Linked DNA regions of Lepisosteus oculatus. The protein of the gene in region 2 purifies or fractionates together with the protein of the main gene of each other region. This does not show direct contact. Links are inferred from orthologs where the notes say so. Each region holds a gene or a part of one and is shown on either strand. Other genes may lie near its edges.

Region 1 (3,754 bases), on a different chromosome or scaffold from region 2:
CATGGAACTTTAGTAAGCCATTTCCAGTGTAGAACACTCTGAGCACATGCTTGAATTATTTAAGCCTCTGCGTCCGTATTTCAGAAGCTTTTGTGTTTTAAAGGCTATCTTGCACTCATAGTAGACAGGAAGATCTCCCAGAGACAGGGACAACACTAACCACAGATAGGGACACATTTCTCGGGCTGGGGCTGACCCCGACACATGTTCTTGCAAGGCATACATTTTCGGACAAGCCTGTCCCAGTACTCTCTGTCAGGGCAGCGTCTCATATTGCCTGGTCTCTGGAAAACAACATCAACAAATATTCATTAGTCATTCTAGTTAACTTATCATGCTGATTAAAAAGGCTCGTGCCGCATATGGGAACTACGTTTGGATGTTTGGATTCCTAGCCTAGTATCACGGCCTTGATCAATCAGAATACAATACCATGTTTCTGTCTAGCATGTGCGCAAGAGACAGTTACTTTGAGACAGATTTGATCTATGAGTAACTGTAATTGAGATCTTTTGAAGCGCGTTTTAAAACTCGCGTAGGACTAACGCATAATACGTTATGCAAAAGATAGTCTTCCAATGCTTACCTTTTATTCTGAGACAAATTCATTTTCTGAGTAGGGTATACAAGTTTTAAAGTCCATGATTACACATTTCAGTTTATAGCAGGACATACAGACACAACACACTCACACCAGGGCCATTTTTCCCAGAGCCAATTAGTCTGCCAGTATGAGATCACTTTATTGGCCATATACAATTTCTTGTATTAGGAATTTCTTTTCACATACCCCAGCTTGCTCTCCATGAGACACAGAGGCAGGGAGAGAGAAGCTTGGGGTCAGAGCGCAGGGTCAGCCATTTATATGGCGCCCCTGGAGCAGTTGGGGTTAAGAGCCTTGCTCAGGGGCCCAACGGAGTAGGATCCCTCTGCCGGCCCCGGGACCAGCATGAACCAGCAACCTTTCAGCCACAGGCGCAGATCCTTAGCCACAGAGCTACCGCCCTATGTCCTATGTCTTTGGACTGTGGGTGGAAACTGGAGCAACTGGTGAAAACCCACATGAACACAGAAAGAACATACAAACTCCACACGGACAGCACCCTAAGAACTGAACTCTGGGCTTCAGCGCTAAATTAGTTTCTTATTGAAAGCCACCTTTTAAATTTGCCCTTGAATCCTGGAATAATATTTCTTTTATACAGTTGCATAAATGTACCAATACATGGTATACTGTATATAAACTAAATAAAATAGTAAATGTTATTTATGATTTTATTAAGTGTAATTTAGATCACATGTTAAGCAAATTTGCTTATTTTGCAATAATATATCTTGTAAGATTCATTAAAGAAATGAGCTGCAATTTCTATTTTTTTTCATTACTATCACATTTAGAAGTCAAAACTGAATTTACTTTAGAATAGTCTTAGAAAGTTCTTAAAAAAAGGATGGAGAAGATGGAAATACAGTGGATTAAAGACAGAAATGTACAGTTTTACTGATTTTTACAAATTTCCTTTTTAAAAGCTACAGCCCAAAATGTACTGAATGATTTTTACCTTGGATACAACGTGTAAACCTATTTTCCAGTTACATTTTCATGTTTTTATTGTATCTACGTTATATTACATATCATAATATGCTCATATTAGTGTTTCAACCAATTTAAAAAAACAGCAGTTACATATATGTGTCAGTGTTTGTGAAGGATGGATTGCTATAAAAGATTGCCATAAATCTTTTAGCACCAGGTTTCTATTTTTCAGGTCCAAAGATGTCTTATACTATATATTACCTACTGAGAATTTTAACAATGCTTTTTTGATCTTGTTAAAATCCTGAAAAGGCGTGTGGAACCTTATCTATTTGAGTCTTTTCCTTTAGTTGATTCTGAATCAAAGCATGTGAAAATCAAGCAAAATCCTCACTGTTTTTCAGTAGCTCTGTCAATGAGAGTTACGCTTAAAACATTTATTTTGGTATTCCAAAGTCTCTCCTAAACAGCTGTTTCTAGAATCTTCCATTAATTATTTTCGACACGTGAAAACACGGAACAGCTCCACACAGATGTCATGTAAAAAAAAACAGTCTATGTTATAATAGCTCACATATTCTGGAAGTCAATATGAAAAGGAGAAACGAATTAGTATTTAAGATTCTTATACAACATGTTAATGGTTAGCATCTGTGCAATATCTTGTTGCCTTCACTGTTTAAAGACATTTCATAATCCATGAGATAGCTTTGCCACTCAGCAACACAGTCCTGAACATTTCAGCTCTGTACACAAAAAAAACTGCAATGGAAAATAAAGTTCTTGACCAAGAGGTTCAGCACTCTTGGGTACAACACTTTCAAAACAATGAAGAATTGATTCAAACATGATAGTAAGTATGGTATCTAGATATGTAAAACCCTAGAACTATTGAGTTACTTACCTTCGGTAATATACTGAGAGCAAACTTCAGCGGAATGCAGTCACTATATAGTTTCTTGTACAGCAGCAGACTATGAGTACCAGAGAGATTTGGGTATGGTTGTATTAAACCATTTCCTGGGGTTTCCCCCTCACTAATTAAGCAGTATACAGGTTTCTTCTCTGCTGCCCCAGGAAAGCCCACAGTATTGCAACATCTGTCTCTATCTAATGTTTGTAATACCATACAGCGGAATGAATGATTTCAAGAGTCGGCTATAAGGTTTTTCATACAGGTTGAGGACTAATTTGTCTTGGTTAGCTCAGAGGATGTTTAGACCATCTGTAGCTCAAACAGCTGTCCTGAGAAAATGTGAAATACAGTATGATCAAAATTGTTTAAACAAAAATCAATGACAAATTCCCAATAAAGGATTTAAGTGGAAATCATCACCTAATATGTTCTTTGTTGAAGTGTTTTAATCACATTTTAAAATACAAGACACTAATTTGTAATTAACTTTGGGTTAGGACCATGATACCTAAAAATCATATGCCACTGGTCACCAATCCTGGTCCTAGAGGGTCAGTGTGTGTTTGTGTTGTTGTTGTTGTTGTTCTAATTCAGCCCTTAATCAGCTTAAATGGACCAATTTAACAGCTTCTCCCAGATTCAGGTGTTGGTGCTTTCGGCAGAGAGGCACTGTGCCTCCAGGATCAGGATTAAAGATCCATGTTTTGCTCATTTATACACTTTTAACATCGGCCCTTTTTCCCGAAAAGACGGCCTTTTTCATGCACATTCCATTCATTCTCATTTATAGTACCACTCCCCATGAATTAATTATAAACAGAGACGGCTGAGTGTTTTATAGCACTGCTTTCTTTTGCGTTTGACTACAGATGAAATCAGTCAAAATGAGGTTGCACGGGCTTTAAAAGGTCACTTGTTACATGTCAATTCAGGCATGCAGAGGACTTTGCTTAATCCAAGAATCTGTTATTCTCAAAAAACACAATTGTTCTTTTTTTTTTCCCTCGGCTGTTTTTTGTACTCCAAAGGCTAACGATGACTAATTACAGAAACAGCTTTAATGGGACATAAATGTTCCCATATTAAAATGGTTTGTAGAAACGTTACTTCATGAACCCTGTAGACATTTGCAAGAGGAAATCAAGGGAATCAAGGGATATGAAGTAAGTTGCAAAACCAGCTCTATCTGATTTACTTTAAAGTCGATGAGCGTGAAATGAATTCCATTGTTTTAAGTAGTATAGCTCAAACAATTTGGATCATTCAATGGTTTGATATGTACTAAATATCTCACACAGCGT
Region 2 (3,754 bases):
AATGCAATCAAAACCTCTCACATTTATCAAGATATCATGTCACCTAGCATATTTTCTGATGGAAAGAGAGATGATGTACTGCTCATGTACTGCTCATTCACACAAACACATGCACACATGTTTGTGTGTGACAAACACACACAAACTATTTCAATGTGACAGTGTTCTTTTGGGTATTTCTAGTATTGTTCGTTCTATTCTACTCTTTTCTAGGCAACTAAAACTAAACCTGCAATTGGCCAGTTCACAAGAGAGTCCACACCTCAGGGTGTACAGGCTAAGGTATGTGTAAAGCCATTTGCAGTTCTAATGCTTTATAATTGAGTAGAAGGTACACACGTGTACTTCAACCAAGCATACACAGATAGCTCAATTGTTTCCTCACACTTGTTCTCCAAATGTTGTCTTTCTCTATAAAATGTACAGCTCATCGCATTGAGGGATCGCTGTTCCTGTGCAACTGCAGCAAAATACACAAATGATCTGATGCATTCTTGTACACTACAGCATACATGGCATCTCACTATTTCCTGGGCTCTTCATCTAACAGCGAAATAAGGCCACCCCTGTCCCGAGAGGAAGTTGAAGCTATAATTCGTGAGTGTAGATGGCTTAGGTTATATTCTGAAATAATCTTTTAGTATATTTTGTTCAGGTAAATAATATTTTTCTGTTCTCTTTTTCTTGTTAGCTGAAGTAAAGACTGTGTTCCCTGAGAAGACCCATGCAGAAATCAGAGCCTTTATGAGACAGAAGCTATCTAATGCAGCAAATATTCTAAAACGTCAGTGTGGTGTGGGCCAGGAGAACCAGCATCATGAACATGAGCCAGTCTACCTTTAAATGACCAGCTCCCTTTAACTTCAGCTGTGAATTTATTATTTAAATGTTCTTGTTGTTATTGTTGTATTTGAACTGTTATGATCATATTCTCTATTGATGTAAATATTAATACATTTGGACTTAACTGGTTAATGAATTTTGTACATTTGCCTGTACATTTCATGTTGGCTTTCTATTTTCTCTGCAGTCTTCTTCAGGATTAATAAAGTAGACCTATATATCTATTTATCTGTCAATCATATTTTAATAACTAGTGTTATGTACCATGGTACCCCTACAAGTACCATACGTCTGTCAAAACATCATAGGATAAAACGTACCACATACTCAAGGTACCTTAAGAGTACCATGGTATACAGTATAAGTACAACGGTACTTCTACCATGGTACATGTACTATGGTACTGTCAAAAACACCAAGGTACCGTACCATAGTACTGGTACCATAAATGTACCATGGTACAATTTCTTATGTATAGTTTTACAGATAGGAAAGCCTTCCAAACCTATTAATATGAATATGAGGGTATTACCTTTAAATTTTGATTTAAGTAAAGGAAGTTTTAATTAAGTTTATAATTAAACAGATGAAAACACATTTCTCTTTATCTCTTTTATTTCTCTTTATCGTTTCCCGTTTTCTCTTATTTCCCGTTTTGCGCGCTGCAGAGCGATCAGTTATTAAGTGTGACATCATCAAAGTGCGTCCGTTTGAGGAGCGCCTTGCCCATTGTATTAGTGGTAGATACGTCGAGGTGTCATTTTGTTACACTGACAGTATAAAACGTATTTTAACATTTACGATAATGGAGTCTGCAGATCAAAACATGCAAAAGGCTTCTGAAGAAATAAACAATATGTCTGCATCGAAAAGAAGAGCAGAAATTAGGAGGAGAAAACTGCTGATGAATTCAGAAGACAGAATGAACAGGATCATGGGGTTTAATAAGAGCGACGTAGACGCCAACGGTGAGGCGCTTATTAAAAATACTGAAAACGGGAATGAAAAGGTTCATACAATTGTAATCAAACTATTCATCTGAAAGATTAAAGGACATTAAAGATTACCGATATCAGTAAAAAGACGGATACATTTCCTGTAAATAAATCACACTAGCTACATACCATTACAGCGCAGTTTATCACCACCCTTAACGAATACTTTTGCAAATTCTTTTGTCTTTAATTTAAACCAATCTAAATTAGATGAACACGAATTATATAGGTACTGTATATTTTAATCGTATGCGTTTTGTAACTTTTTTTCTCGTTTGACTTTGATTTAACTGCTTAATATTGGGAAGTATTGTTCTTTGAAAGGTAGATGAGATAATTCATGTGGGGTTTTATAAACTAAAAGCATTAAAGCTATTTTATGTTATTATTTTAAGAATTCGAATAAATCGAGTTTAAAGGAGTGGCACAAGGAGGACACCTGCTACGCCTATCACTGGGCTTGTATATTCTGGTCAGTTGTCTGGAATTGCTGTCACAAAGTTATTAATGCTGAAAGAAGAGGCTATCGGAGAGATTGCATATTTCATGTCTTATTTCTCTATTCAGGTTAAACATATTTTGACATATGTATGCTTGTAATGATCTGTTATAGTGTTAACATTCTGAAAAAAATATGCTGTAGTTGCAAAATAATAATGTCCATGTCTTTTATGAATGATTATGCATTTCCTAAGGCTTTTTGTTTGGCATGAAATCCCTTTTTTTTCAATTTAGGCTTTCTTGGAGATCCAAGTATTTTCATTTTTTTGTTCCAGCTGGGCCCTTAATTACTGTAGCTGATTTGAACCTATAAATGAGACAAACCTTTATTAAGGGACCAGGACCATGAACACGCTTTTGTGATAAAAACAGTATATCAGGTTTCAGTCATATCAGTATGAGTCAGTATGAATCTAATGGGTTATACTCCATCTAACACACATGAACGCGTTAGTACAGGGTTTGTATTAGTATCAAATTTTATTCCCCTTTTGAAAAACTGAAACAGCATTTTAAAAATGGAACTCAGAAAATACATTAGTCTGTAACTAAGAACTGAACTGTTGTGAAAACCAGAAAAGGCATGGGTTTTACAGAAAAGACACTGAGAACTACTAAGGTAGGTGAACCAGTACTGGTTCAGCAATTAAAATGGGAGTAATTAACCCTGTAAATTGGTTTGTCAACTTCTACAATTTATCATCCCATTCTGAAAGAATCCAATTTGTGGTTTGATAATTTTATTCCTTATCTTCTACAAGATGACAGACATACGTTGGAGCCCAGAGTTCCCTTGGATCATGGCAGAGCAGAGCCGCGGTCTCTGTCCGCCCAATCCAAGAGACTTCCAGTCTTCCAGAGTGAGATGGGGGTGAGCAATCACCACGGCGACGTGCCTGAGCGTCAGGGGTCTCCCCTGCGGGAGTGCAGGGACCCCGCGGGCCGCAGCGGCGAGGGCGAAAGCGCTGGGGAGGTGCGGCAGAGATCCCGGGCAGACGTCCCCTCCGACGGCATCCCCCGCTCCCCCCGCCGCGGGCTGCAGCAGTACCTGTCGCGCTTCGATGAGGCCATGAAGCTCCGCAGCCAGCTGATCAGCGAGAAGCCGGCTCAGGAAAACGGCTCGGGCCCAGAGGAGCTAGATGCCTTCCGAGTCTTCCGCCTCATCGGGAGCGTGATGTTAGCCATCACTGTCAGGGTCTTTGTCTGCAAGTATTTGGTATGTCTGTGTCGCAGATCTTTGATTTGTTTGATTTAATCACTTTCCCTCTCCAGCTGGTAAAGATCTGGTTGCAGGAAAGCTAACAAGCTTCACTTTGGTTTGGGGCTTGATCTGTTTTTCGGCTTAACACCCTGCGGCTCACCACTGGCAACCCACTGAAGCTCAGCAGGTGTGAGCCTGGTCAGTACCTGGATGG

The links. Proteins that work in one complex are often made in the same cells at the same time.
Region 1: the proteins of camlg (region 2) and tumor necrosis factor receptor superfamily member 13B purify together in Homo sapiens (affinity purification with western blotting; 3 studies listed by BioGRID and IntAct, with this or other methods). This does not show direct contact. The link is inferred for Lepisosteus oculatus from reciprocal best matches to the Homo sapiens genes CAMLG and TNFRSF13B.

The regions. Positions count from the first base shown.
Region 1 is NC_090714.1:4,625,702-4,629,455, forward strand, and holds the start of tumor necrosis factor receptor superfamily member 13B, read right to left. Parts: upstream 2,510-3,754; 5' UTR 2,442-2,509; intron 285-2,441; 5' UTR 273-284; coding exon 161-272; intron 1-160. UniProt on the Homo sapiens protein: Receptor for TNFSF13/APRIL and TNFSF13B/TALL1/BAFF/BLYS that binds both ligands with similar high affinity. Mediates calcineurin-dependent activation of NF-AT, as well as activation of NF-kappa-B and AP-1.
Region 2 is NC_090706.1:23,728,575-23,732,328, reverse strand, and holds the start of camlg (guided entry of tail-anchored proteins factor CAMLG), read left to right. Parts: upstream 1-1,548; 5' UTR 1,549-1,648; coding exon 1,649-1,811; intron 1,812-3,100; coding exon 3,101-3,555; intron 3,556-3,754. UniProt on the Homo sapiens protein: Required for the post-translational delivery of tail-anchored (TA) proteins to the endoplasmic reticulum.